Ovis aries: one gene and its partners. The protein of the gene in region 1 purifies or fractionates together with the protein of each later gene. This does not show direct contact. Links are inferred from orthologs where the notes say so. Each region holds a gene or a part of one and is shown on either strand. Other genes may lie near its edges. The genes, in order: RBBP7, SAP130, MTF2, SUDS3, GATAD1, SIN3B and ZBTB2.

Region 1 (4,124 bases):
ATGATCACCTAACTGAATTTAAGAGCAACAGCTCAGAAAGTGCAAGTAATCATTTGGAAGCATGTTGTATGTATACAGAAGACCAGCCAGATGAGGTTGAGTAGGGCCTGCCTCTCAAAGTGCCAGGCTGTAAGAGTATCCAACATTTCTACTGTCCTACATAGTGATAAAACACAATCACAGTCCCTTCATAGTCCAAACAGAAACCTGCAAAGCACCACTCAGCCGTCTTCGACACACAAGAATGCAGGCTGGCTGGCATTTTGTTGCACTCCCAGAGCCACTGCCCATCCCACAACCAGATCCCACTTCTTTGTATGCAAAGAACCCCATGGAATATATAAAGTATTTTCTGTTAAGTTCCTAAGTGTTAATATAAAAGTAGTATCTGGGCTGAGAAAACACAGATTTATTATCTTTAAAGTGTTTTACACAAAAAACATAATAGGTAATGTGACTAAACAGCTTTCATTGAAATACAAATGGAAACAGAGCTATTCCACCCTAACAACTTATTTCTGAATAGGAAAGGGTGGGAGAACCACCATCAGTCACCACTTACTGTGTACTCACTCTGAGCCAGCATTTTAACATGTGTGATCTTATTCATTTCCTCAGATGTAGGCTGTAAGAACTTTCAGCATCTCCATTTACAGACCAGACTATTTCAGGATAGAGACTGATCAATTTGCCCTAATTCACAAAGCTAAGAAGCAAGGGGCAGGATTCAAATTCAGATCTCTAACCTTAAAGCCTGGGCTCTTTTCTACTGTCAAACATCAAAAAGATTCAAATTAAGTTGTTTAACTTAATCTGCTTAATAGGAAGACATAGTCAAATACCCGTGCTGCACTACATCAGAACCTCAATACCCTTAAGCATTTGATGGTCAAAGCTGTAAATGTCAACACTTAGAAGTCTCCATTATTTAGTTCTTGGCTCCTCTTCCCACATCTGTGTATTTACATTGAGATTTTTGAAAAGTCCACTAGAAGTCCCTAACCGTGTAGAAGTCAATGTTCTCATATGGAAAATCTGGCCACTATATGAGTTTTATACCAAAGTAATTTACTCTTATTTTTAAAAGTTGTTGCAAAACTTCTAGAGTTTAATAAATCCTCATTAAATGACATACACATAACAATCAAATTTAATACATTTTTAAAGTACATGGCCAGGTTCTTACTAGGAAAAGTGCAAGTGTATGAGAACCATAACCTAGTGCAGAGGTTGCCTCAACTCTGGGGCCACCTGGTTTGCATTCCAAAGCCCGCTCCACCACTTACCAGCTGTGTGATCTGGGGCATGTTACTTAACATCTCAGCCCATTTCCACATCGATTAAAAAGAAGAGGATAATAAAAAATAATTATTGTACTGTTGTATTAAATCTAATAGGACATAAAACTCTTCAGATGTGCTCAACAAATGTCAGCAATTATTACCAGAGAAATTTTACAAAGAGGTGAAGACCAAAAACAACCTCAAAATGTATCATATTATACCACCTTTTCGTTGGTGAACTGCTGCAAAACTGTTTTCTCCTTTGCCAATTAAAACGTATTCGTCTTGTGGGCTGGTTACAAAGAGGTATTCATTTTGCAAAAATTCATCAAGCCATACACTTATGATTCGTGCACTTTTCCCACTGAGTTTTAAAGAAATCCATTAGTTTGGGGTCCAAAGAAAACCCAGCGTCTACATTTAAGTTCAAGAAATGTCAAATGTATCTGGTGCATCCTACAAATATCCTTAATCTCAGAACAGATTCTCTGTCCGCTTTTAATTCCACATTTATACGTCAGAAACCACCCTGTAAGTCAGTTTTGAAAATAAAAATCACCTGCCACATCACCCAAAGGCTTAATCGATTACTTGTTTATGTTCTACGTATAAGACGCGAAAAACTAGGAGATTCATGTTAACAGCAAAATTTATGCAAAATAAGAGTTGACAAAAACCCTTACTTAGTCACTTCAGGAAGCCACTGAACGGTAAGACTCGGCCACTGAAGAGCATGGGTCATAACCAGGTCATACAGAAACGGTGTATTCTTCTTCCAGATTTTATATTCTTCATTGATGACACGCTCCTCCACAGTATCTTCAAACACTGAAATTTGGACAAATCCCATACGATTAAGTGTCTGAAAGGGATCGAAATCTATACTGGAGGTCACCTCGAGATGGCCACACCTTATCTCCTCTTTCTCTTAACCACTAAATTGGACACGACCAACTCACTGGTCTTCCAGAACGCGAGGAGAATATTAACACCAGGAAGCTTATTTTTTTGCAGTTTGAAATCAATACCGCCTGCGTATACAATATTGGGCAATTAATTACATAGATATCGCAATTGTTTTGCCGGTTACAGCTGTTCGCACCTGTTCCAAGATGACGACCCGTATGTAAAGGGGCTCCCCGACCCACCCGGCGAGACGAATCCACGTGTAGCAGAAACGCATCGGCCCGCTCCCCCCATCCCCCACCAGAAGAGGCCTCAGCTCCCACGAAACCCGAGCCGGCAGCCATAAGTCGGCGGGTTCCAGAATCCCCCGGACAAGGGCCGCGACCCCGAGGCGGTCGACGCGCGCGCGTGGAAGATGGTGCCGTGCCCGCTTTCCGGCGACGGAGGCCGCCTCCGCCCGGGTGCAGAGCAAGCGCCGCCGCCAGAGGGGGGTGACGCCGGGGGGTAGCGGGAAGGGGGCCCAACCGCGGCCCCGCGCCTGGCTCCGGAAGTGCTCGGAGCCCTTCGCGCCGCGGCCCCGTCCCGCGTAGGCCCCTCGAGGCGCGCGCCCTGCCTCGCGCCCGGCCCCGCCCCCTGCTCCTCACGCCAATTCGCGCCTTTCGCCGGCGCGTGCCGCGGCCTCGCACGCTCACCGCCCCCCGCCGCGCGCCGCCCCGCGGGGCCTCTTACTCTCTTTACTCGCCATCTTGCGTCGGGTCGTTCGCCCCTCGCCGCCGCCTCGGACTCCCCTTGCTAGCCAAGAGCAGCCCAACCACAAGCGCTCCTGCCTTTCCCAGGCGCGTCACACAGTTCTAGCTCTCGAAGCCTGAGCTCCGTCTTACAGCCTGGGAGCTCCCCAGACGCTGCGTCCTTCTCTGCTGCCTCCTCCCCGCTTGCGGGTACCGAGGTCTGAGGCGCTCTTCTCTCTCTCTCCAAACTTGGAACGAGACTTTTCAACCCGCGCCTCCCAGCCCGCCCAGGCAGCTGAGCGCAGGCGCATCCGCCCTGGGAAAAGTGAGAGGCGGTGGCTTGGGTGGGCCTCGGAGCCAACGGCTTCGTCTTTTTGACCAATGACTGGCGGCAGGCAGGTTTAACGCGGCGTTCGGAGGCGGGCTTTTGGGGGTGGGTGGGGCGTTCCGCGGCAGGAAGTTGGCGAGGCGCAGGCGCGAGGGCTCGCCTGGCGCTCCCAGGGCAGGCCGCGGGGGCGGATGGGGGCGCGAGGGGGTGGGGCGAAAGGAGGCGCGGCGTGCAAGCTGCGTGGGGGCTGCGAGCCCCGGGGCGGCGAGCCCTGGGGCCGCGGGACGTGGCTGCTTGCTGCGGCTTTGGCGGTGGGGGTGGGGGGCTGGGGGGCTGGGAGGCTGCTGCCGCTTAGCCAAGCAAAATCTCAGCGCTAGAGAGAAAAATGGTTTCTAGTCTCGAGAGACTACTGTGCCCTCAAAGTCTCCCTGACAGTCACGGACATGCATAAGTCTGTGCACTCTGAAAGTTCTCCCTCCAGCCGACTGGCCTTTTCTGGGGCCTGGTCGAGGCGAGGTGGGATTGTCGGAGGCAAAGGGGGCCTTTAGCAGAGGCCGCGGGCGTTTTCCGACTGTTCAAGCCGCTGGGCCTGCCTTGTAGGCTAAACCTGCGGCCTGTTCAAGCACAGGCCGCCAGCGCCCCGAGGCTGATTTGAGTTTCGTCTTTGTTAACAAATTCGAGTCTATAAGATGATATTTGAGCCCTGTCGTACTGCAGAGGATTTTGTTCCTGCATTGCCATTCTTGTATTCTTCCTAGCCTTGGGCCTTGCTGAGTCATTTGTAACCTGCGGGGGTCCCAGGGTGACCCCACCCTAGGCTGGCGAAGCTGGAAAGAACTGGGTAGAGCTGACCTGGGACCGGCTTGCCTGAGCCTTGCT
Region 2 (3,500 bases), on another chromosome or scaffold:
TCTCCATACCAAGTTCCATGTAAAAAATTAAAATTACCTGAAGTCTTTCCTTCGGGCTGAGGCTGCTGGGTCCCTATTGGTGCAGGCTGAAGTCCTTGGGTGCTGATGGGGGTTGCTGAGTGAATTCCCTGTGTCCCGATGGGGGCTGGCTGGATCCCCGGGGTGCCAATGGGGGCTGGCTGGATCCCCTGTGTACTAATGGGGGCTGGCTGGATCCCTTGGATATGTCGAGCGTGAGATGCATCCACTGTCATCAACTGCATGGGGTTCAGGTGGACTGTGGATGCCACCCCTACTCCAGTCTGAGCTGTGATGGCAGAGTTTGGAGCCTGAGCTGAAACTACAGATGATGCAGAAAGTGACAAGAATGTTAGCTCCCTGGTGGCTTAGACGGTAAAGCGTCTGCCTACAATGTGGGAGACTTGGGTTCAATCCCTGGGTCGGGAAGATCTCCTGGAGAAGGAAATGGCAACCCACTCCAGTAGTCTTGCCGGGAAAATCCCATGGACAGAGGAATCTGGTTAGGCTACAGTCCATGGGGTTGCAGAGAGTCGGACACGACTGAGCGACTTCACTCACTCACTCACTCACTCAAGGAGAAAAACACTCAGAAATCAAAACAATTTTTCCACGTTCAAGATCTAAACTCTCAATTTAAAAAGAAAGTGCTATATAAATCTCTAAGCATTGATGTTTTCTCCACCTTACTTTCTACTAATTTGAGATGATCTTTCTGCAGAAATAGCATTAAAATGAGAAAAAGCAACCATTTATTAAAAGCCAAATGTGAGCCAGGCAACTATGAAATAATTAATACAAACTTTTGCGATCTATCCATGCCTCCAAGTCAAGAATCTTTGCTTTAATTGATAGAAGAACCACTATCAGAGGAATTTCTGAAATACAGTAGTTATTAATTTTAAATTCTAAAATATGCACTTGGGAGAGAGAACAATCAACCTGTCCTTTTTCAATCAGCTACCGTGTACATTAAAAACTGACTCAACAACAGAACTGAAAACACAAACATTCCCAGGAAGAAACAAAAAAAGAAGGGATTTCTCACTATTTGTGGAAAGAAAACAAACAAGACTTTTCTTCTCAGAAAACAAATCTGGAAAAAGATAGACGTATCTTCCATGTTCCCTGCAGTGTTACTTACAATAGCCAAGATATGGAAACAATCCATGTCCACTAGTGGACGAGTAGATCAAGAAGACATGGTATGCACACACACCATGGAATAACACTCAGCTATTAAAAAGGAAAAAAACCTGAAACACTGCCATCTGTGACAATATGAATGAATCTCAAGGGTACTGTGCTCAGTGAAGTCAGTCACACAGAGAATGACAAACATCATCTGATCTCACATACATATGGAATCTAAAATGCAGAAAATCACAAACCGAGCCCCTGGATAGGGAAAACAGACCGGTGGTGCCACAGGCAAGGGCAGAGGGCGGGTGAGACAGGCTAAGGTAGCGAGAAGGCATGAACTTCCAGTTAAAGACATTAAGTTATGCAGATATAATGCACAGCATAATGATTACAGTTAAATATACCAGTTAAATCTGGAAGTTCCTAAGAGTAGATCTTAAAAAGTCCTCATCACAAGAAAAAAACCAATCTGGAACTGTATAGTGACAGATGCCAGCCAGACCTGTGGTGATTATTCTGCAATACAGACAAATAATGAATTATTATGCTGTACATGCGAAACTAAGGTATGTCAATTATATCTCAATTTTGGAATTTTAGAATTTCTTGGCAGAAAAGCTACGACAAATCTACACAGCATATTAGAAAGCAGAGACATTACTTTGCTGACAAAGGTCCATCTAGTCAAAGCTGTGGTTTTTCCAGTAAGACATGTACAGATGTGAGAGTTGGACCATAAAGAAGGCTGAGTTCTGAAGAACTGATGCTTTGAAACTGGTGTTGGAGAAGACTCTCCAGAGTCCCTTTGACAGCAAGGAGATCAGTCCATCCTAATGGAAATCAATCCTGAATATTCACTGGAAGGACTGATGCTGAAGTTCCAATACTCTGGCCTCCTGATGTGAAGAGCTGACTCAATGGAAAAGACCCTGATATTAGGAAAGATTGAGGCAAGGCAGAGAAGGGGATGACTGAGGATGAGATGGCTGGATGGCTCAATGGACATGAGTTTGAGCAAATTCTGGGCAATAGTGAAGGACAGGGAAGCATGGCATGGCAGTCCATGCGGTGGCAAAGTGTCAGACACGATTCAGTGACTGAACAACAAATACTTCAATTTTAATAATATAATAAAAATGTTTTATAAATGACAAATAAAAAGGTAAGTTATTATGCATTAAGAATAATGAAGTGATAGAACACGTAAACTTAAAAGTCCCTGTTCTAGTACAATTCTTCCTTTGTAGAATACACACATAGACAATTTCCAGAGCATTCTAGTTTCCTCCTGAGCAGTATACCCATGGTATTTCTGTTACACAACAGTTTTTGGTCACTTGCCTGCTATAGAACCTGCAGTCTAGTTACTACTACAAGCCTTTTTAAGACCCAATCTTATTTCACACTTTATATTCTCACCCACACCGTGTGTGCGTGTGTGCTCAGTCGTGTTTGACTCTCTGTGACCCTGTGGGCTGCAGCCTGCCAGGCTCCTCTATCCATGGGTTTCTCCCATGGAATATGGGCTGCCATTTTCCCTCCTCCAGTGGATCCTCCCACCTCAGGGACTGATCCTGTGTCTCCTGCACAGGCATTGAGACTCTCTAGTACTGAGCAAGATCTAATCTTATTCCACACTTCGCATTCTTACTCACACTAGGCTTCCACCAAAACGAAGCCACTCTGTTTTTTCAAGCACATATTTTAGTTAATACTTTATTCAGAGACAGAAATGTGCTTTTCTCCAGTCCTACCATGGCTCTGCCCTATCCATTCTGAAAGATGCTTCCCAAATGTCATTTCTTTTAGGAAATCATTCCTGACCTCCAACCCGACCTTCTCAAGTAGAAATAACCTCTTAACTCAGAAACAGCATGGCTTTGCTCAAGTCTCTCTTGTGAGCTTGAGCATATTATAGTATCTTTTCACACCTCATCTCCTTACTAGACTCTCAGCTTGTTGAAAGCAACATCTGTTTATAAGTCAATTTTAAAGCAGAGCTAGCATAGGATCTTACATAGAATTTCAATAAATATTTGTGGAATTAATAAATGAATGAATAAATGAATGAATGAAACGGAAAACACCTCTGCAACAAGTGAATTTTCAGGAACAATATGAGAGGGAGCAATTCCTTGCAAAATATATAGATTATATACCTATGCTGCTGCTGCTGCTCCTAAGTCGCTTCAGTCGTGTCCGACTCTGTGCGACCCCATAAATGGCAGCCCACCAGGCCCCCCCGTCCCTGGGATTCTCCAGGCAAGAACACTGGAGTGGGTTGCCACTGCCTTCTCCAATGCATGCAAGTGAAAAGTGAAAGTGAAGTCGCTCAGTCG
Region 3 (3,500 bases), on another chromosome or scaffold:
CAGGAAAAACTGAATTAAAAAACAAGGTAAAGGAACAGATTTATATAATACGCTAGAAAGAGGTGAATGGAGAAAACAAGAAATGACTATCCCTCCTCACCAAACTCGTTTGGGGAAATAAAGGTGGAAGTACGAGGAAAGAGAAAGTAGAGAAGTAGAGGAAGAAAGTGTAACTAAAACTATAATCCAAAATCTTATCCAAGGATAAGATGGGTGGGGTGTACATTTATTTTTTTGGCAGGATGATCAACATAACATTTACAAAGGACCCCTGGACTAAAGAAATTCATACATAGGGCCCAGAATGAACTGAAAATGCCTTTAGAGAAAGTTGAACCATTATCTGATCACATCAAGTGAAAATCTGATAACTACCACAGACAGAATGTCCTATCAAAATCAAAATAGGAACAAGAAAGATTGTGGAAATCTTTTTTCTAATTTATAATATAAACAATTGCTAGAAAAAGATTAATAATAAAAATCTGAAAGTAACAGGAATAGTATTATTTTCCTTCATAAAAAAAAACCCTTAAAGTACTATATACTTTATTACTAACTCAAATGGATACACAGCACTGACAACCCTCTGTAATTATTTTTTTCTTATTCACCAAGATGATTAACTCATACCTTATGTATTGGCTCCTTAAATTTCTCTCTCAGCTATCTTTGCCTCATAATTTCATTGAGAAAACAGAAGCTACTAGGCAATAACTTCAGTCATCACAGAATTAGCATTTGTACTCCACTGTCCAGTACTATTGCCTGGAAAATCCCAGGGACAGAGGAGCCTGGTAGGCTACATGTAGTCCATGGGGTCGCAAAGAGTCGGACACGACTGAGCGACTTCACTTCTTTTTCTCTCCATTTCAACAGAAAGATGTTAAGTCCTGCTTTAGAAGGTCAATCCCACATTTAGATTCCCACATCCTGTCTCTTATGTCTTCTCAAAGACTTTACAATATCTTTAGTTACCTCTCTTTCTTCTGTATCATTCTCCTCCACTGACATACAGAAACAGGTTACAACTGTCTTATATCTATTTTTAAAAAACCATCACTCGATTCAGCTTCCATTCTATTTGTCTACTTCCCTCCCTTAACAATACAGTGAAACTACTTCTGAGAGTCGACAACACATACCCTTCCCACTTTCTTCATTCTCTTTCAAAATTCTTAACAAGTATTTCCTTTTTTCCCCCTTTCCTGTATTACTGTCATCATCATTATTTTGAATCTTCCCATGTCCCTAATTGTAGAAAAAGACCAGTTTTGACAGTAAGTTGAGCAGTGCTGGATTCAATCATATTGTCCTACTGCCATCTGACTTTTACCTTTAACACTTAAGAAAAATAGTTTTTGTCAAAATCACTAATAACAAAATGTTATCTAATCCAATAAACATTTTTCTCTCATCTTAACCTGCCTCTCAGCAACATTCAGTACTGTTTAATAGACCCATATCTTTCTCAAACACTCTCCTTCACTTGGTTTTCATGACATCAAACTTTCCTAGTTTCCTCCTATTTCAATGATCGTTTTCTAGCCATCTCCTACATTTATTTCACTTCTTCCAAATCTCTAAATAATACCAGGACATTATTCTGGGCCACATTCTCTTCTTTTCTCTCTCTAGGTAATATCATCCATTCTCATGGTTTTAGAAATCAACTTCAAAATTTATTATCATGTGTCCTGAGCTCCTGACTGAACACACCCAATTGCCTGTATTTAACATCATTATCGCTTAGATATTCCTCATAAGAATCTTGAATTAAATGAGTCTGAAATGGAAGAATGCTTTATTCACGTCATCAAAATCTATTCTTCCAGTTCTTGGTAACAGACATGACCACCCACTAGTTGCTCAAACAAGGTATCTAGGCATTGTATAACTTTATCTTGCCCTTCCTTTAAAATTTTAATTCATTAGCAAAGCCAACAAATTATGCCCCCAGTGGAGATCTTGAATCTATTTTCTCTCTACTTGACTGCTATCACCTACAACTGCACAAGCCACCATTATCTCTCACCTAGAAAACTGAAAGTCTTCATTTTTTCTTGTTTCTACTTCTATAGATTTGCTTTCCAAACAGATCCAGAGAAGTATTTTAAAAGATAATTCAGCGTACATACATCTTTAAATAGCTTCCCATTATTCTGAGAAAACAACCGAAACTCCTTATGAGGTCTACAAAACACATGACCAAGCCCCACCCAACCTTTCCAGTACCCAATACTACTCTCTGCAGCCCTTGTTCACACCTTAGTAGCCTTCTGAAAGTTCCTAGAACATGCCTCATAGCTTCACACTTGTTATTTCTGCTATCTGAAGTATTCTTCCCTTTATTCTTCACATTGTTAGGTCATTCTCAATCTTTAAAGTTTCAGCTTCAATATTATCATAAACAAGCCTTCTTAAGCCTCTTTCTTAAAGCAGACCCCTATATCTCTATCCATCCCAGTACAGTCTAAATCTGTTTGCTATTTCCTAAATGGTATTAACATGATCTGTAATTATTTTGTTTACCACCTTTCTTCCCCATTATAATGTAAACCCCACCAGGGCAGAAAGAAGGTCTTATTTATTATATCTCCAGCACTTAGACAGTAAGTTGCCTGATAAACAGAATGAATGAACAAACGAATGAGAAATGAACAAACAAATGAATAGATACTTATGCTGAACAAAATCAATAGGGCCTATTCCTGGAAAGCCTTAGATCTATAGTAAATAAATAAACATCTAGCATTAACTCTTTGTAACTTGTTCAAGCGAGAAATTTTAAATAGGATAACAAATCAGGGTCACTGCCACTTGTACTTCCAAATATACTAATGAGGCTTAAGTAACATACATTTTTAGTTACAAATGAGCTAAAGAGAAAAACTAACCCACAGATCAACTTTTACCTTGATTCAGATATAGGTTTGGATGCCTTTCTGCCTTTAATTTTAAATTCATGGGAGGTTCCTTCAGGTTCTTTCTCTGCTTTGAAAGCCACATTTGGTGGCACAGGAGGAACACGAATTCGCAACCCAAACAAATGCTTCTTCTTCTTTATTTCTTTCCCAGACATAAACCTAAATTTAAAAAACAATTAACTAAAAATTTAAAAACTGAACACATATACATGGAAGACCCTCAGTCGTAAAACACATGAAAGTCTACCCAATACTACCCCGTTGCTCTTGTTTTTTCCCTTTGCTTTACTGGATTCTTATCTGCCCCAGAGCCAGTCCACGGTAGGATATGACAGGGGAGTAGGAGAGAGGAATAGTGTTAGAAGGAAGAACAGATGTCCGCTAGGAACACATGTCCGCTTTTCTTTTCAAAACGTAGCATCTAACTTTTTAAAGAAAGAAGAGTACAGAGTGATATCTCTTTTGGTCTCAATGTGCTTTTCCACATTTTTAGTCTTATCTGTTACAAACACCTCAAAAAAGGTTTAGGGAAAACAGAATTCTATTGCAGAGTGAATAGGTGAGGAGAGAAAC
Region 4 (3,500 bases), on another chromosome or scaffold:
AGGCCCAGTGTTTAGGGTGCTTCATTCAGAGCAGCACTCAAGGGTCTTTGCTAGGCTGCAAAATAGAACTCTGAACTGGCAAGGCATTTTTGTTGTTGTTGTTTTTAAACATGGCAATTACTTACACATCCGTCCATGAGGTGAGTCTTGTGAAAGGAAACAAGATTCTTGCCACTCTAAATAATTCCCTCCTGAAAGCCACTATGGTCCGGAGAGAAGTTCTGAGTGTCTGAAGGCCTGGTGGGGCTGGTTGTGAATTTAGATGATTTGATCCCATTTTAGTTATCAGCGCTTTTAGCTTGACTCGATACATACCCCAGTAACCTGCTCTATCTCTTGATAAATATTTCTAGACATTTAATTTTTATAAATTTAAAGAGATTTTTCCAGTTCTTGCCCACTGGAGCTTCTTACTGTCAGTGGTGTTTTAGTCCTACCCCCAGTCACCTTGGGCACATCCTTAGCATGCCTGAGCCTCAGGTTTCAGTTTCTCTTCTGTGGGGAGGTTAATCTTTGCCTTGCCTGCTCGCAGAGTTGTTTTGAGGATGTGATGTACAAGAATTTTGTTGAATTTCCATTTATTACAACGGTAAGAACTTGAGGATCACGAGGACCCTTACCCCCTTTTAAATAGCATTTCACTTAAAGCATGTTAGTGAATGGACTCGCATGCTTGTGACATGCTTAGTCATGGGGATATCTCTTTGGTTCCTCCAGCATCCCCATCCTCTCCTGAACACTTGCCCACCACCCCTGCAGAGTCTCCAGCCCAGAGATTTGAAGCTCGGATAGAAGACGGCAAACTGTACTACGATAAAAGATGGTAAGTTCTGTGTGAACATAGGTTACTCATTAGTATCTCGAAAGAACCGTTTGGGAAGAGGGCCAGGTCTGTCTCTAGTTATTATTTCAGAGCATGGCTGCTGCTTAACTAAAGGTGGAGGGAGGTTAAGTGTGTCAGGAGTTTTGGATATCTGCTGCTTGTTAGATCTCTGAAGGCAGTGTTCCCCAAAACATGTTCTTCTGATCATGCTGCTGCCACCATGCTAGAACCTGCAGGCTTATATCTTTTGTGGTGCCCCTGTAGCCTGGGGTCAGGGTTTATGTCCCCCTCTGTCTCCCCTTAACTGGGCCCTCTGCATGCTGAAATTAATAGGGGTTCTGTGGAAGAAAAGATTCTGTGGTCAGGTGAGTGTGGGCCGTGGCTGTGTTAACTAATAACTAAGATCAGTGGGTTTCGTCATTGTAGCACTCTGGGTCTTCTGATACGCTAATGTACACTGTGAATTTATGAGATGTTACTCAGTACTGTTTATCTGACCAAGGTACCCTTTTACACAGGCTGTCCTGGTGGCTCAGTGGTACAGAATCTGCCTGCCAGTGCAGGAGATGTGGGTTCAGTCCCTGGGTTGGGAAGATCCCCTGGAGGAGGAAGTGGTGTCCCACTCTAGTATTCTTGCCTGGGTAATCCTATGGACAGAGGAGCTTGGGGGGATCGCAGAGAGAAGGACATGAGTGAGTGACTGAGCATGTGTGCACCCTGTTACACACCACATCCTGCAGCACAAGTGTTTCAGGGAATGTGCCTGGGAGAGGTGTAGCCTGAACCATTACTAGTTTAGATTGAAGATGGTTTGAAACCTTCAGGCCACCATTGAGGTCTTTGGAAGGAAATAGCAAAACAATATGAAAAACCTTATTCATGCATTTGCTCTTTTTGTAAAGGTTTCCTACTGTTTGCTCTGTGACTGGGCATCTGCTAGGTGTCAGGTCACCTGGACCCTGCCACCTTTTCTTTAAATTCTCAATTCTTCCTTTTATTCATTGCCCATGTGTAGGCATACTGTTGGTCAGGGTAAGTCATGGTGGACATGTTTTCATGCTGCCTTTCTACTTGTTTGTATGGAGAATGTTTCCCTGGGTTATTGTAGGGTCTCTGTAATTGCCATTTATAATGGTTATATAATGTTTTGAGTTTCAGTCTTTAAACCAAAATTCAAAAATTAGTTATGATTATTTTGAATGTTTTGAGGTTTCTTTAAAAAAAAAAAAAAAAAGCCCCAGTATTAAATGTGTGAAGTTGGTAAAAATGCTCAGAGACCTAGTGGTGCCTGAAGTAAATCAGTTCCACCCGTGAGGTTACAGTGAGTTAATAACCCAGTAGAGGATGAAGGCTGGATCTGTCTGTTAGCCTGATCTTGGTGACTTCTGCTCCTGTCATTTGATTCTTCGGTGTCCTTCTAAAAGGCCAGTTGTGTTGTTTTCTAGGGTTGCTTGTCAGAACACATCACCACTAGATGGCAGGCCCTGACAACTCAACACATCAAGGGGCAAAATAAGATGAAAAATGTTTCTAATAATGAAAACCAAATAACCTTTAAAGATCAAGCCCACACATAAGAACCATCTTCAAAAATGATGAGATTTATCACTAACATCTTTACGAATCTGTGAGTCCTAAAGCCCTGTGATATTTCAGATGATGTTCATTTTGTCATTGCGTCGCTTTCTGTCTTCCTTCTCCTAAGGCTTCGTCCTCAGATTTACAGGATATGAAAAGGCAGTAAAATAAAATTCTTTGTTTTTCTAAAGAAAGGATCCACAGTGACGGGGGTTTCACGGTGTAGACCGTGGTCAGGTGGGATGTGTCCAGCCACCTAAGCATTTGGAAGGCATTTCACTGTCTTTCTCCCAGTGGCAGCAGAGATCTTTCAAGTGTCTGGGAGCATCTGGTAATTTCAGTGACTTTCAGGCTGCTTACTCTGTGGTTAAGTATGATGACTGTTGTTTTCTGCATTCTTTGTGTTCCTCTTCTGTGGCCTTGCTGGTCAGAGTTCACGTCACATCTGCTGAGAGAGGGCCCCTCCCAGTCCGCTGGATCTGGCAAGTGTTTGCCAGAATCCTGGCTGATACAGTCCCAGTGCCGGACTGGCCTCTCACGTCTGACCAGGCTCATGATGTTTGGCTCCGTGTCCTTGTCAGTTTGGAGGCTCTCGTTCTTCCTTCTTTCTCAGTAGTCCTGGCCTATGGCCGAGAGGTCTGCTGAACTGCTTTCTGCTCTTGCCGGTGGCGTGAAGTATTTTTGTGAAACGGTATTTCTGGCAAAACACATTTCATTGAGTTTTAAATGACTTCAGCACAAGGAGTGTGATTTGGGCTGCCCATCTTGGCCTGAACACTTATTTATCAGGCTACGTTTCACTTGGGAAGATGAGCATCTGCCCTTGCCTCTGGGTATACTGCTTTTAAGATATTTTATGTCCTGCTGGAGGTTTTCCTCACGTTTTGATTTGTACTAATGACCCTCCTTAGAAAGCACTGTGAAAGTAGATGAGATTTTAAGGTGACTCACTGATGGTGCCAGTGGACTGTATTTTCTCCCCTCACTTTTAAATCTGGGGCTGCTAAAGTGAATCCAGTGAAACCACCCACGTGCACGGGTGGATTTAACCTTCCGGCCTGGCTTTTATTAATAACTCAAAGCAGTGACTCTTTCTTTA
Region 5 (4,295 bases), on another chromosome or scaffold:
TTCTGCTGTTATTTCTGTTACCTTTAGCTTAAAAATTGCTGAGAATCAAAGGACAAGCTCCTGATAATGTGGCTAACAGAACCCTTCTCAGAGCTTTATTGCACATAACAATCTAATTTAAAAAAGTATCTGTGGCTTTAATGGCCTGAGCACAACAGAGGTGGAAATAACAAACAAGTCTCCTCAAAGACATTTTCCATCTCAACTTAACTATAGCTATGATAATACAATCAGAACTAGTTTTCTAACTAGTTTTCTGAACCAAGGCCAAAGGACGCTTTCTTGGGAGTTGCTAGTAATTTGCCACCACTCAATCATCAAAATTCCTTCTTAAGCTGTAATACACACTCTTACGCCACAACACAGTAACTACGCCTTCCCAAATATGTCTTGATATCCCTGAAGAAAGTGGTTGCCAGAGAAATTGATATTAAAATACTTTCAGAAAACATATTCCACCATACATAAGAGGAAAAGGGTGTTTAAGTGTGTACAACTATAATCAAGTGTTCACATATTTTGTCTAGTCAATAATCCCATTTTAGAAAACAAATTTATTAAAATCCTAAATAAATTAGAAGCAACTACTCTCAAGAAAGGGGCTTCCCTGGTGGCTCAGAGGTTAAAGTGTCTGCCTCCAATGCAGGAGACCCTAGTTCGATCCCTGAGTTGGGAAGATCCCCTGGAGAAGGAAATGGTAACCCACTCCAGTATTCTTGCTTGGAGAATCCCATGGACGGAGAAACCTGGCAGGCTACAGTCCGTGGGGTCGCAAAGAGTCGGACCCGACTGAGTGACTTCCCTTTCCCTTTACTCTCAAGAGAAAGAATCCACAATCTGCACAAGAATATAATGCAAGGCCTCTCTGAGTTTTTTAAATGAATACACCCAACTTCAGAAAATGCCTCTACTGGTGAGTGAAGCATTTCTGTTCTGAAAGCAGAGTACCATACTGAGGTTTAAAAAACAAAAACCCAAAAAACAGTATCGAATGCTTTGCCCAGTGTGTTTGACCACTGTCCCTTGTATTTACAAAACCAAAAATAAGCTTTCAGTTATCCCAGCACAAGTCTTTCAATGATCTATTTTCTTAGAGATAAACATTTAGTAAAACTTTTGATTCATATTCATCAAGTTGATCACTGTAAATCAGTAAGAAACATTTTTCTGGGGCCATATAACAAGTAAATACGGAACTGAATGAATTCCAGTGTTATTATTTACTTAGAGCTCTATGGGAAAAAAAATACCATGCCCATACCAAGAACTGTAACTCCATCTCATCTTTTGCATAGAGAACCCAATAAAATGTGCTCAAGATTTAGGTTTCTTTTAGAATCATGTTTTATGTTCCCCAGGGGGAAAAAAAAACTAAAACAAGGAAAAGAGGATATCGTTAACTTTATAACAGTAAGCCTCCTAAAAGAGCTCCTTCCCTTTCTGAAAGCCTGGATCAGTCCCCAGAAGGCTACAGAAGAGCTGCCAAGAGCAGAGTCCAAGTTCAATGGTGAGAGATGAAGGCGGTGGTTGGTCACACTACACACAATGCCAGAAGGCGGTGGTTGGTCACACTACACACAATGCCACAATTACAGTACAAGACACTGTCCACAATCATCTTACATTTTTTAATTTAAAAATATGTCTTCTCCCTTTCCCTTTAGTGGAAACTTTCTTTTCAGCAGCTGGAGCAGATTTGTATTTAGTGTTTCTGAGCCGAGCAGACCTCCTGTGAATTTCCTGCTTACTCTGTTACATAAACAAAGAACAAAAAAAGAGAAATAAAAAGTGTAGAAAGGTTGCTGTCCTGATACAACCATCTTACAAGGATCCCAGAGTATGCACTTTAAACGAACATTCAAAAATAAAGTAAGAGTGCAACTTTTCTTTTCATGCTGGGTAATAATCAAACGAACTGGCTTAATTTAAAAACGGAGAGCCACAGGCAAACATCTCCAGACTCCAAAAAAGGTGTGAACTACTTGTAAAAGGGCAACGGGCAGCAAGAGGAGTCGGTTTATGCCAGGGTAAGCCCATTCATCGGTTGCGTTTATAACACAAAAGTCCTTAAAAATTCAACTCTCCTAAGCTAGAGAATGGGTGTGGTATGCCACCTCCTGCAACGGAACACATGTTACTATTGAAAATGACCTGATAACCTTAATAACATGACATTATGACAAAGTAAACTTTATTAACAGGGAAAGAGGTCCAGTAGCCGTGACCCCGTAGACATCTCTGTGTAAACGTATGTACCCTGAGATGTCCGGTTGCTACCCAAAGTATCACAGGGGAAGGATTTCTGAGGGGGTTTTCCTCTTCCTGCTTCTCTAGACTTTAAACTTCTCATGAGAAAAGGTGCTGATAAGGGGCCAAACCAACGACGACCTTCTCGTCGCGGACGGGAGGGTGCCGCCCGCCGCGCCGGCCTCCGCCCGCGGGAGGGGCCGCAGGGGCTCACCTGCTTGCCGCCCCCGCCCCCGTTGCTCTGCGGAGGGGCGGCCGAGGTGCTGGCGAAGGTCGCGGCGCCGAAGCCACCCCCTGCGCCGCCGCCGCCGCCCCCTGTGCCGCCGGCCACCCCCGGGCAGGAGCCCCCGCCGCCTGCGCCGCCCCGGCCTGTGCAGTGGTGGCAGAGGATCTCCCCCTGCGGGCCCTTCTTCCACATGGAGGACGACGTGGTCTTGCAGACGCTGCAGGTGGGCTTCAGGCCCAGCGGCATGGTGGCCGGCTCGGGCGGCCCCCGCGGGCGCAGCGACACGGGAATGGCGACCGCCGGCCTCGGCGGCCCGCGGGCCGGCCTGCCACTCCCACAGACAGAAGAGAGGCGCGGGCGCGGCGCCGAGCTGCCCAAGCCGGGACCGGGCCGCGGCCGCCGCCCCCTGGAGGCAGGAAGCCGGTTCCGCCCGCTCCGCAGCCAGCTCCAGCCTCGGCGGCCCGAAGCGCCAGGAGGCGGGGCGGGGCGGGGCGGGGCCTGGGAGGACAGCCTGGCCTCGGCCTTAGGGGCTTCCGGTGATGGGCGGGGCGGGGCGGGGCCTGGGAGGACAGCCTGGCCTCGGCCTTAGGGGCTTCCGGTGATCGGCGGGGCGGGGCGGGGCCTGGGAGGACAGCCTGGCCTCGGCCTTAGGGGCTTCCGGTGATGGGCGGGGCGGGGCGGGGCCTGGGAGGACAGCCTGGCCTCGGCCTTAGGGGCTTCCGGTGATGGGTGGGGCCGCACACTGGCCGCTCGTCCGACCGGAAGTGCCTTCCCTGGAATTACTGGGACTGCGGGGAGGTTCGGAGAAGGCAATGGTACCCCACTCCAGTACTCTTGCCTAGAAAATCCCATGGACAGAGGAGCCTGGTAGGCTGCAGTCCATGGGGTCGCCACTAGTCAGACACGACTGAGCGACTTCACTTTCACTTTTCACTTGCATGCATTGGAGAAGGAAATGGCAACCCACTCCAGTGTTCTTGCCTGGAGAATCCCAGGGACGGGGGAGCCTGGTGGGCTGCCGTCTATGGGGTCGCACAGAGTCGGACACGACTGAAGCGACTTAGCAGCAGCAGCAGCAGCAGCAGCAGCGGGAAGGTTCACGAGCTTTTCGGCCTTTTAGGCCTACCATTGGCTTATAAAATGCCTCAGTTCAGCTCAGTCGCTCAGTCGTGTCCTAAGTGAATCTAAATTCCAGATAAGCAACTAATAACTTACTAACGCCAATGTATCCTATGCAATGTTCGTTGTTTATCTGAATTCAAATTTAACTGGGCAGCCTGTATTTTTAATTTTCCAAGTCTGGCTCTCGTACTTAGGACCTCCTTACACTCTTTAAAATTATAATTTACACCCCCATATACGTTTGCTTATAGGGGACATTTGAGTATTAGGAATTGAAACATACTTTAAACCCCTGGAGACCACGCATACGTTCACTGGCTCTTGAGTGGCGGTGTCATCTTGAGTCCCATAGCCTCTGAGCATTAGGCCGGGGAGATAGTGCTGGTTTGGCATTGTTGGGAGGCAGATTTGGCCCCGAGAACCTCCAGAAAGTGTCTTGGGAGCTCCCTGGACCGCACTTGGGAAGAGCTGACCTAAGACAAGGGCATCATGAGAATCCAGCCTTCTCAATTAATGCCGCTGGGCAGTACCAGCCAGGCCAGGGAAATGAGTCTTTACCCAGCCTCTCTCAGTGGAGTGGTGGTTGCCTGCCTCTCTTCGTGATCCTGGGTTTCCTACTCTTGAAGTTCTCTCACACGTCTTGATGAATATGTTGGTGGAGGGGTGTGGGAAGAAGAAGAAAGCTGTATTGACTGCCTTA
Region 6 (4,217 bases), on another chromosome or scaffold:
GTGGCCATGCCCTCCTCCAGGGGATCTTCCTCACCCTGGGATTGAACCCGGGTCACCTTCTTTGTAGGCAGATGCTTTACTGTCTGAGCCACCAGGCAAGTCCCAATTTTACTCCTGACCCCTGGCAAACGATGCACCCGTTGCCAGCATATTCTCAGCTTTCCTGCACCTCTTCACAAGTAGAGATACCAAATGCAGATGATGTACAAGAGACCGTGGGATGGCAGAGGAGAAGTTGGGTAGTTTCTTGAGAGAGAGGATATTTGGGTTGTATTTTGCAGGATATATAGGGTGCTTTTTGTGTAATGAAGAGATTAATAGGGCTTCCGGCTGACGCATGGGGTCAGGGAGCAGCCAGGCTAAGTAGGCATTGACAGGAGTTTCTGCACAGATAGAAGGCAGCTTACTTGGGTGGAAAATTCTGCAAGAAAAGGTTCACAATTTAGGTTCACAATTGATTGCCTTCAATGCTGCATACAGGTGCTTAGATTTAACTCATAAGAAGTAGGAAGACCTTGGAGATTTGGAAGCAGTTGTGGAATGATCTCAGTTCCTGATAGCACTGTGACTGGAAAAACTGGTTAAGAGGCTCCCAAACTGGTCCTGTGGGGAAGCGATGGGAACAGGACTAGAGAAGTGAGGAGAGGAGGATCAGGACTAAGTCAAGAGCAGTTTAGCAGGGACTTCCCTGGTGTTTCAATGGCTAACACTCTGCATTCGCAACACAGTGGGCATGAGTTCAAACTCTGGTCAGGGAGTTAGATCCCACATGCCACAGCTAAGAGTTTGCATGCCACAACTAAGATCCCGCATGCTGCAATCAAGACTTAGTGCAGCCAAATAAATTAATAAACATCTTAAAAAAAAGCATTTTGGCAACACTTCAATGCAGGGCCTTGTATTGGGGTGCTGTGTGTCCATACCCCCAGTTGTTACATCAACCCTAGAAAGCAGGGGTCCAGAACCCTATTTCAGTAAATATATCAGGCTGTGTAGATCTTAGCATCTGTAGAAGCTATTTACTCCGCTGTCAAAGCGCAAAAATAGCCAGAGGTGCCCAGTAAACGAGTGGGCATTCCAGCGTTCCAGTAAACCTTAATTTTACAGACACTGAAACTTAAATTTCATAGAATTTTCACGTGGCACGGAGTAATCTGCACTACCGGAGTTTTTCCAACTTTTAAAACTGTAAAAAGCATTCTCAGCTTACTTGTGGGGCCGGACAAAAGCAGAGGCCAGCCCTTGGTTTGCCCACCGGTGGTACTTGAAGCGTTAGCAGCCTTTCAGTTTTTTGGGTAAGATCCTACAGCTAGTCCCTCCAGGAGCTTTGCCGTCCCAGCCGCCGCCAGGCCACGCCCTCCGGGGCGGAGCCAGCGCATGCGCGGCCCACCCTCGGGCGGGGGGCGGGGCGGGCCGCGGCTCCGAGTTCCAACATGGCGCACGCTGGCGGCGGCGGCGGCGTCGGCCCTGCGGGCCGGGGGCTGAGCGGCGCCCGCTGGGGTCGCTCGGGCTCCGGGGGCCACGAGAAACTGCCGGTGCACGTGAGTGGTGCCCCAGCCCTCCCTGGGGAACCCGGCCGTCCAGTCCCCGGAGGTTGGCGCCCCCTGCCAGGGCCCCGCCCGACCCTGGCCCTGCGTCGGCCTCCGCTCCGCCGGGCCCTGGACCCGCGACCCCCTGCCTCCGCCCCTCGGAGCCCGGCCTGCACCCCTCCCGCCAGGGACCCCCGGCCCCGGCCCCTTCTGCGCCGACCGCGGCCCACCGGGACCCTCCCCCTCCCCGCAGGTGGAAGACGCCCTCACCTACCTGGACCAGGTGAAGATCCGCTTCGGCAGCGATCCTGCCACTTACAATGGCTTCCTGGAGATCATGAAGGAGTTCAAGAGCCAGAGGTACCTGCGGGGCCCCTGCCCGGGGGCCGCCCCAGGGCGCGCCCTGGGCCGCAGTGGGCCTGAGCGCCGTGGGAGCCGCCAGCCCGCGCCGGCCCCCAACAGGGTGACCTTGCGCAGGTGGTGGCTGCTCGGAGCCTCGGTCCTTCTTCCAGACAACGGGACGGAAGGGTGCCCTCCTTGTGGAGCTATTGTGGGGATTCCTGGAAGGAGGGCAGGGATGCGGTGAGGCGAGTGAGGCGGTCAGGCAAGCACAGGGTGGGATCCTGTCTTTACTCAGAGTGTCGGGTTTTAAAGATAAATTTTGCTCGTCCGGGATTTTTTAAAAATTTAGATCCCCGCTCCCCCCCCCCCCCGCCCCAAGCACTACATGAAAATGTTACTTATCCAGATTAAGGAATGTTTTGGCACTTTCTCCCCCTCAAATCTTAATCCCCAAGGTGAGTGCCTTACTTGCCTCGCCCTCATCCCAGGCCTGCTTGGGAAATAACGCACACAAAATGCTTAATAAGGAACCTGGCACTTAGAAGGCATTTAAAACACATTAGCTGTTTTCATAGGCACAGGATCAAGGGGGTGAGAGATGTATCAGGGACCTCTCGATCCCCTGTCTTGTTTGACAGGGGTCTTGCTGAGACTTAGAGTGGGCCAGGGGTTCACCCAGGTTCACGTTAGAAGCAGAGGCGGGACCAGGACTCCATGCCTTCTGATTTAGATTTGTATCAGATCTACACCGTGGTGCTTTCCCCACAGAGGAAGTAATAACGGCAGGGCTCACCTGGTTTCCTTCCCAAGCCCGATGGTAGACCTTGGCCCTGACTGCAGCCCCGAGGGAGAACTCTATCTCCTCTCTCCTTGAGCTGTTACGCAGTTTCCATACGTGCAGGGCCTTTGACATTTATGCATTACCGTCAGTTGCTGGGAACAACTCCTGGGAACAGCAGATCGCTGATTCGTATGAAGTGAATTTGTCTCCCTGTTTAGAGGACTTGGCTTCCTGTCACTTCTTGGAGCTCAGGATGTGCAGCTGGCTCTCCTGACGTTTCCAGAGCCTAGCGCACGTGCTTGCGGTTTTTTGGGAGCTGTGCTGTGCGCCTGTTGTGTGGGGTTTTGGCAGGAAGATACAGGGAGCCCAGGCCTGGCTGCCTTGGTGGTGGACCACCGTCTGCAGTCACACAGTTTAGGGTGCGTCGTTGTCTGTTGAGCAGCCTGTGTCCTGGGACGGGTAAGAGAGTCAGAAGTCAGCTCGGTTCCCAGTCTGCCCCCCAAGACCCTCCTGCCCACTCCTGGTCTTCTTTGTTGCAGCATTGATACTCCGGGTGTCATCCGGCGAGTGTCGCAGCTCTTCCACGAACACCCTGACCTCATTGTTGGATTCAACGCTTTCCTCCCTCTCGGCTACAGGATAGACATTCCCAAGAACGGCAAGTTAAACATACAGTCGCCTCTGTCGAGCCAGGTATGCAGTGGTGTGAGTGACCTGGACTCAGCACCGCCCACCCTGGCCCTGGGGGTACTCATGCCAGGCAGTATATCCCGTGTGTTTCATTGGCAGGGAAGCAGGTGAAGGGCCGATCTTCTTGAAATGCTTCTAGCGCAAATCAGAGTGAATTGAAACACCTTCCCCAGCAGCCTCTGCATCCCAGATTGATCCACTTGGCAGATTTAAATCAAGAGTGGGTGTGTCTGTATGTGTCAAGGAGGCATTCTCTGAACGTAGTTTTATGTCCAGTCACAGTCAGAGATGTGGATGGACTTAAGAGTCTGTCATACAGAGTGAAGTAAGTCCGAAAGATGAAAACCAGTATTGGTATATTAGGGCATGTATTAACATGTGGAATCTAGAAAAATAGGACAGAGGAACGTAGTTCCAGGCCAGGAATGGAGACTCAGACATAGAAGACGGACGTGTGGGCACAGTGGGGGAGGGGAAGGTGGGGTGAATTGGGAGATTAGGTTTGGCATAAACACACTACCATGTGTAAAACGCTTAGCTACTGGGACCTTCGGTGTGTAGCGCTGGGAGCTCAGCTCAGGGCTCTGTGATGACCTAGAGGGATGGGGTGGGGTTGGAGGAGGAGGGAGGTCTAAGAGGGAGGGGGTGTGTGTGGCTGATTCACTTGGTTGTACGGCAGAAACTCAACATTGTGAAAGCAACTGTGTTCTGATTAAAAAAGATACTGGCAGTCGCAGCCACCAAGGTCTGGGTTTGAGGCTCCCCCTCGGAGCGCTAGGCGGCCCCCGCTTGTGCTCGGGCCGGTCATCCCTCTGAGCACCCTGGCAGCGCACAGGAGGAAGTGGTGGAGACGCGTGTGTGACCGGCCGTCTTTG
Region 7 (4,074 bases), on another chromosome or scaffold:
AAAGTTATACAGCTGTGTATTGTCTTCAAGAAAGAAAAATTAGTCATCAGTAGCACCAGGTACAACCCGGTTACCAAATGATACACAGTTAGCAGGGACATTTCTGTGTGTTAAATTAATTCTGTATTAAGACAGTAAGCTTGCTTGAAGTATTTTGTGAACTATGTCACAGGGCGCTGTGCGTAGGTTTCACTACATAAAATAAACCAAAATGGGTTCCACATCAAATCAAGGAGCTTGTAAGCAGGAAAGCATGCTTTAAAACCAAAAAGAAGCCTAGGGAACTGCCGCCTCCATTTCCAAACAAATGAAGCCAGTCTTAAGTCTTCAAACTCCTAGATATGTAAAACAAAGAAATCATTAAATGCATTCCTCAAAGGACAATATCATTACTTCTAAAGATACAAATAAAATTCTAGCAAAACGGCAATGACACAAAAGTAAATCTTAAGATGTTAAAAATCACCACCAAACAATACTAAATTCCATGCCTGTCTAGTTGCCATGTTTCAGGAACTCTCTGTTAAAAATATTTCAGGACCTCTAATAAATCTGACAGAATGGCCAACTCTAGAATCCACTCTAACAGTATCTCACAGACCAAAAGTTAAGTTATCTAAATAGTTTCTAGGTAACAAACATGCTTTGCAGACTTCGATTTTTCTGGACCAAAACTTCACCAGCTAAAACACAACTGCTGCCACAAGCATCAAGTTATATCCTAACAGAAACGTCTCACACCGGTCAGTAAGGAAGCAGTTCTATCTCCAGAGACACCACAAACGAGCATTTCTATTCCAGCTTGACTTCCTGACTACCACTGGCAATCTTTTTTTTTAAAAAAGAGTATTAGTTCCACAATGAGCTCCTTGATTCATTCTCAAGTCCGTTGCAAGACTTAAGGCTTAAAACGTATGCTAATTCGGGCAGCAGAGGGACAAAGGTGCGGGCAGAGAGATGTCAAGCAGGCCGCCTGTAGAAGGATCCCAGCAGGAGTTCTCCGAGCCTTGCCGGAGCATCTCCAGGAGCGTCCTACCTAACGCTTTATGTAAACATGGGGCTTGTGACTCAAGCCTCAAGCCCCAATAGGTGGAGAGAAGTTTCCTCGCCTTGGCTGCACATGGTTTGCAGAAGTTTGGCTGGAGCGTAGCGCGGAGCCTGGGTGGGAGCGGCAGCGTACTTAGTGCTGCAGGCGGCGGCGGCGGCGGCGGCGGCAGAGCAGCAGGAGGCGGAGGCGGGCGGGGGGAGGGGAGGCGGCTGGGGGGGGGGGGGGGGGGCTCTTGCCGCCACAGCTCTCTCGCCGCCTCTCCCCCCCGGCGGGAGCCGCTCTCAGCCTCTTTGCACTAGTCGCTCCGCTCTCTCGGTCATGTGACCTTAACGTAACCGGACAGGAAAAGCCCCGCCGCCGCCGCGCCGGAGACACCGACCGCGGCGGCAGCAGCAGCAGCAGCGAGAGGCAGAGGCGGCGGCGGCGGCGGGGAGCACGGCCAAGGCTGCCCAGCGGTGCCTCCTCCACACCGCCCCCCTCCCCGCCGCAGCAGCACCGGCGACAGGTAAGCGCGCACCGCCGCCGCCTCCCGGGGCCGGTGCCCACGTGCCGCCCCCACAGCCCAGGCTCCGGGAAGGCGGAGGGCGGGGGCCACCGGAGCGCGCAAACGGTTCCGGCAGCGGCGGTGGCAACAAAGAAGACGAATGACCCCCCACTCTCCAGTCCCGGGGCTTCGGGTGAAGGCAGGCGGAGGGCCCGGGCCACACGGGGACCCGGTTCTGGGAAGCGAGGGCGAGGGGGCGCCCCGCGGGGGGCGGGGGCGGCGGCGCCTGGCGCCGGGGCTCTGGCCGCCTGACAAAACCATCCCCCGGAGCCAGGCGGCGGCGAGTCGGCGGCGGCTCCATCCGGGGCTTTGCGGGAGGGGGAGGGGACGGAAGCCGAGAGGGCGGGCGGCGGAGCGGGGGAGGGAGGGAGGAAGGGGAGGGGGGCGATTCGCGTTCCGTTCCCCGTCGCCGGTCCCTCCCTTCCCGCCGCCACCGCGAAGCGCGTCCCGAACGGCGGCGGCCGGTGAGCGTCCCGCGCTGGAGCCCCGAGAGGCGGGCCCGTCAGGTGCGTAATCCTTCCGACGCCTCGCCGCCGCCTCCTGCTGCCGCCGCTGCCGCCGCTGCCGCTGCTTCTTCAGCGGCAAGGCCGCGAGCTGCGGAAGTGGGTTTGGGGGAGGGGAGCGGGGAGGGAGGGGGAGGGGAGGGATCCGGTCCGACCGGAGCAGGCCCGGCCTCTCTGGCGCTTCTCCCAGCTGCAGCGGCTCCTACAGCTGCTGCCGCTACTGCTGCGGCTCCGCCTCCCCGCTCGCGGGCGGGGGCGCGCACGCGCGCTTCCGGCCTCTTCGGGTCTCGCGCTGTCTCCCGCTCTCGCGCGCGCTCTTCCCCTCGCCCTGTCTGGCCACCTCCCCGCCCCCGGCGCCGAGCTGTTGCGCCGGCCGGGGCGTTGCGCACGGCGTAGGCGTCGGCATTGTGTTAAACTCCGCGGGACTTGGGCGAGCGCGCGCGCGCACGCGGGACTGAGGGTGGCGGAGAGCGTGAGGCGCGGCCCGAGTGCGTCGCTCCTCCTCTCCCCTCCCCGCCCCTTTAGCTCCCTCGGGGCTGGGGGCGGGGCCTGAGTGCCCGGCGCCGCGGCCCTGCCGGGCCCCCCTCCGGTCCGGGCGGTCCCGCCCCGGCCCGGCCCCCGCCCCTTGAAGCGGGGCGGAGCGAGGCTGACGGGGCGGCCGTTGGGCCGCTCTGGGGCGGGCGGGGCAATGCGGGCCTCCTTGGGCGCTGCCCGGGGCCGCCCGCTGCGGCCTCTGCAGCCGGTGTGGGCTCGCTGAGCGGCGGCCTCGAGCTTCCGCTCCGCGGGCGATCTGCGCCTCGGATAAGACAAGACTCGCCCAGGGATGCGCTGTGGTTTCTTGGCTGCTTGGCCTTGGGCCGTGGGACCGGCCTCCGAGCCGCGCTCTCCGCAGATGTGGCCGTCACACCCGGATAGGACTCTGCGGAGGGGAGGTTGGGGCTCGGAGTCTGCTTCCCGGGGCCAGAGTCGTTTTCTCTGTGGCGAAACCCCCAAACCGTGAATTTTTAAACAAGGCTGAGAACTGGTAATGGCCGAAAATGCTCTAAGAAGCAATGTTGTTGTCACTTTTAGCTGGTAATGAATTAAGAGGGCAATGAAGAAGGCAAGGGCAGCAGAGCAGGCAAGAAAGTGACCGGGTGGAGTGAAAATGCAGTTATTGCTACGCCATTTACTGCACGAACTTCATCTGCTGAACTCCTAATTATGCCCTAGGGAAATAACCCAGACCCGTTGCTCCCCCCGCTGTCTGCAGTGTTCATTAGCTCTTCATCTTACAGCCCACTTAGAGTGTGACTCTCAAAAGTCTATTCATTTCCATAGGTTATTGTTTTAGTAAAGTAAAGCATTAAAAAGATCGGTGCCCTGGGGCTCAAACAGAACTCTGAGGTGCTCTGGATTTCCTTAAGTGGGCTGCCCAGTCCTCTCTAGGATGATCTCTGTGTTGACCCATTACCCTAATGGGTCACTGAAGTAGGGTGTAAATACCAACATCATTTTTAGTCTGAGGGGCTTGACATTTTAATAGAAAATCAGAAGTAAGTTTTAAACCCTCATTTCTCTGATTTATTACAAGCCAAATTTAATTGTTAAAGTATATTTTTATTTTGCATTCCAAGTAATCTTGTGTGTCCAGGGCGTTTTCAAACTGCTAAAAGTAATTTTAAAGACGCTTATGACTAATACTGCATTCCTTTAAACTGGGCGTTTCTCACTTAATTTGTGGTTTGTAGAAGTTTATTTTCTAGCCAAAGAATTGACCTGCTATTGAAACCATCGCAAGATCTCAGAGTACAAGAAGTGGTATAACAGTGGTATTAGTGTCGAAAGCGCAAGCAGTCACCAGTGGAGTCCTGGTAGAGGGTGGCAGAGAAACCACCGCTAGAGCTTTGCTGCGCAGACCAGCTGCCTGCTTGCCAATTTTAAAGCTTTTATTCAAAAAGGATGTAAATAAATTGTGCTCCCCAAACTCTTCAACTGGA

What was found.
Region 2: the proteins of RBBP7 (region 1) and SAP130 purify together in Homo sapiens (affinity purification with mass spectrometry; 3 studies listed by BioGRID and IntAct, counting the BioPlex papers as one, with this or other methods). This does not show direct contact. The link is inferred for Ovis aries from reciprocal best matches to the Homo sapiens genes RBBP7 and SAP130.
Region 3: the proteins of RBBP7 (region 1) and MTF2 purify together in Homo sapiens (affinity purification with mass spectrometry; 4 studies listed by BioGRID and IntAct, counting the BioPlex papers as one, with this or other methods). This does not show direct contact. The link is inferred for Ovis aries from reciprocal best matches to the Homo sapiens genes RBBP7 and MTF2.
Region 4: the proteins of RBBP7 (region 1) and SUDS3 purify together in Homo sapiens (affinity purification with mass spectrometry; 3 studies listed by BioGRID and IntAct, counting the BioPlex papers as one, with this or other methods). This does not show direct contact. The link is inferred for Ovis aries from reciprocal best matches to the Homo sapiens genes RBBP7 and SUDS3.
Region 5: the proteins of RBBP7 (region 1) and GATAD1 purify together in Homo sapiens (affinity purification with mass spectrometry; 6 studies listed by BioGRID and IntAct, counting the BioPlex papers as one, with this or other methods). This does not show direct contact. The link is inferred for Ovis aries from reciprocal best matches to the Homo sapiens genes RBBP7 and GATAD1.
Region 6: the proteins of RBBP7 (region 1) and SIN3B purify together in Homo sapiens (affinity purification with mass spectrometry; 5 studies listed by BioGRID and IntAct, counting the BioPlex papers as one, with this or other methods). This does not show direct contact. The link is inferred for Ovis aries from reciprocal best matches to the Homo sapiens genes RBBP7 and SIN3B.
Region 7: the proteins of RBBP7 (region 1) and ZBTB2 purify together in Homo sapiens (affinity purification with mass spectrometry; 3 studies listed by BioGRID and IntAct, counting the BioPlex papers as one, with this or other methods). This does not show direct contact. The link is inferred for Ovis aries from reciprocal best matches to the Homo sapiens genes RBBP7 and ZBTB2.

The regions. Positions count from the first base shown.
Region 1 is NC_056080.1:15,066,334-15,070,457, forward strand, and holds the start of RBBP7 (histone-binding protein RBBP7), read right to left. Parts: upstream 2,801-4,124; 5' UTR 2,534-2,800; coding exon 2,386-2,533; intron 2,112-2,385; coding exon 1,967-2,111; intron 1-1,966. UniProt on the Homo sapiens protein: Core histone-binding subunit that may target chromatin remodeling factors, histone acetyltransferases and histone deacetylases to their histone substrates in a manner that is regulated by nucleosomal DNA.
Region 2 is NC_056055.1:117,480,446-117,483,945, reverse strand, and holds part of SAP130 (histone deacetylase complex subunit SAP130), read right to left. Parts: intron 341-3,500; coding exon 38-340; intron 1-37. UniProt on the Homo sapiens protein: Acts as a transcriptional repressor. May function in the assembly and/or enzymatic activity of the mSin3A corepressor complex or in mediating interactions between the complex and other regulatory complexes.
Region 3 is NC_056054.1:70,329,513-70,333,012, reverse strand, and holds part of MTF2 (metal-response element-binding transcription factor 2), read right to left. Parts: intron 3,087-3,500; coding exon 2,916-3,086; intron 1-2,915. UniProt on the Homo sapiens protein: Polycomb group (PcG) protein that specifically binds histone H3 trimethylated at 'Lys-36' (H3K36me3) and recruits the PRC2 complex, thus enhancing PRC2 H3K27me3 methylation activity.
Region 4 is NC_056070.1:56,874,723-56,878,222, reverse strand, and holds part of SUDS3 (sin3 histone deacetylase corepressor complex component SDS3), read left to right. Parts: intron 1-717; coding exon 718-823; intron 824-3,500.
Region 5 is NC_056057.1:10,524,294-10,528,588, reverse strand, and holds the start of GATAD1 (GATA zinc finger domain-containing protein 1), read right to left. Parts: upstream 2,801-4,295; 5' UTR 2,720-2,800; coding exon 2,462-2,719; intron 1,750-2,461; coding exon 1,624-1,749; intron 1-1,623. Other genes in the region: TMBIM7P (protein lifeguard 2), read left to right, coding at 3,324-3,340. UniProt on the Homo sapiens protein: Component of some chromatin complex recruited to chromatin sites methylated 'Lys-4' of histone H3 (H3K4me), with a preference for trimethylated form (H3K4me3).
Region 6 is NC_056058.1:5,999,262-6,003,478, reverse strand, and holds the start of SIN3B (paired amphipathic helix protein Sin3b), read left to right. Parts: upstream 1-1,417; 5' UTR 1,418-1,433; coding exon 1,434-1,541; intron 1,542-1,782; coding exon 1,783-1,889; intron 1,890-3,191; coding exon 3,192-3,345; intron 3,346-4,217.
Region 7 is NC_056061.1:76,246,035-76,250,108, reverse strand, and holds the start of ZBTB2 (zinc finger and BTB domain-containing protein 2), read left to right. Parts: upstream 1-1,274; 5' UTR 1,275-1,553; intron 1,554-1,978; exon of another isoform or gene 1,979-2,098; intron 2,099-4,074. UniProt on the Homo sapiens protein: May be involved in transcriptional regulation.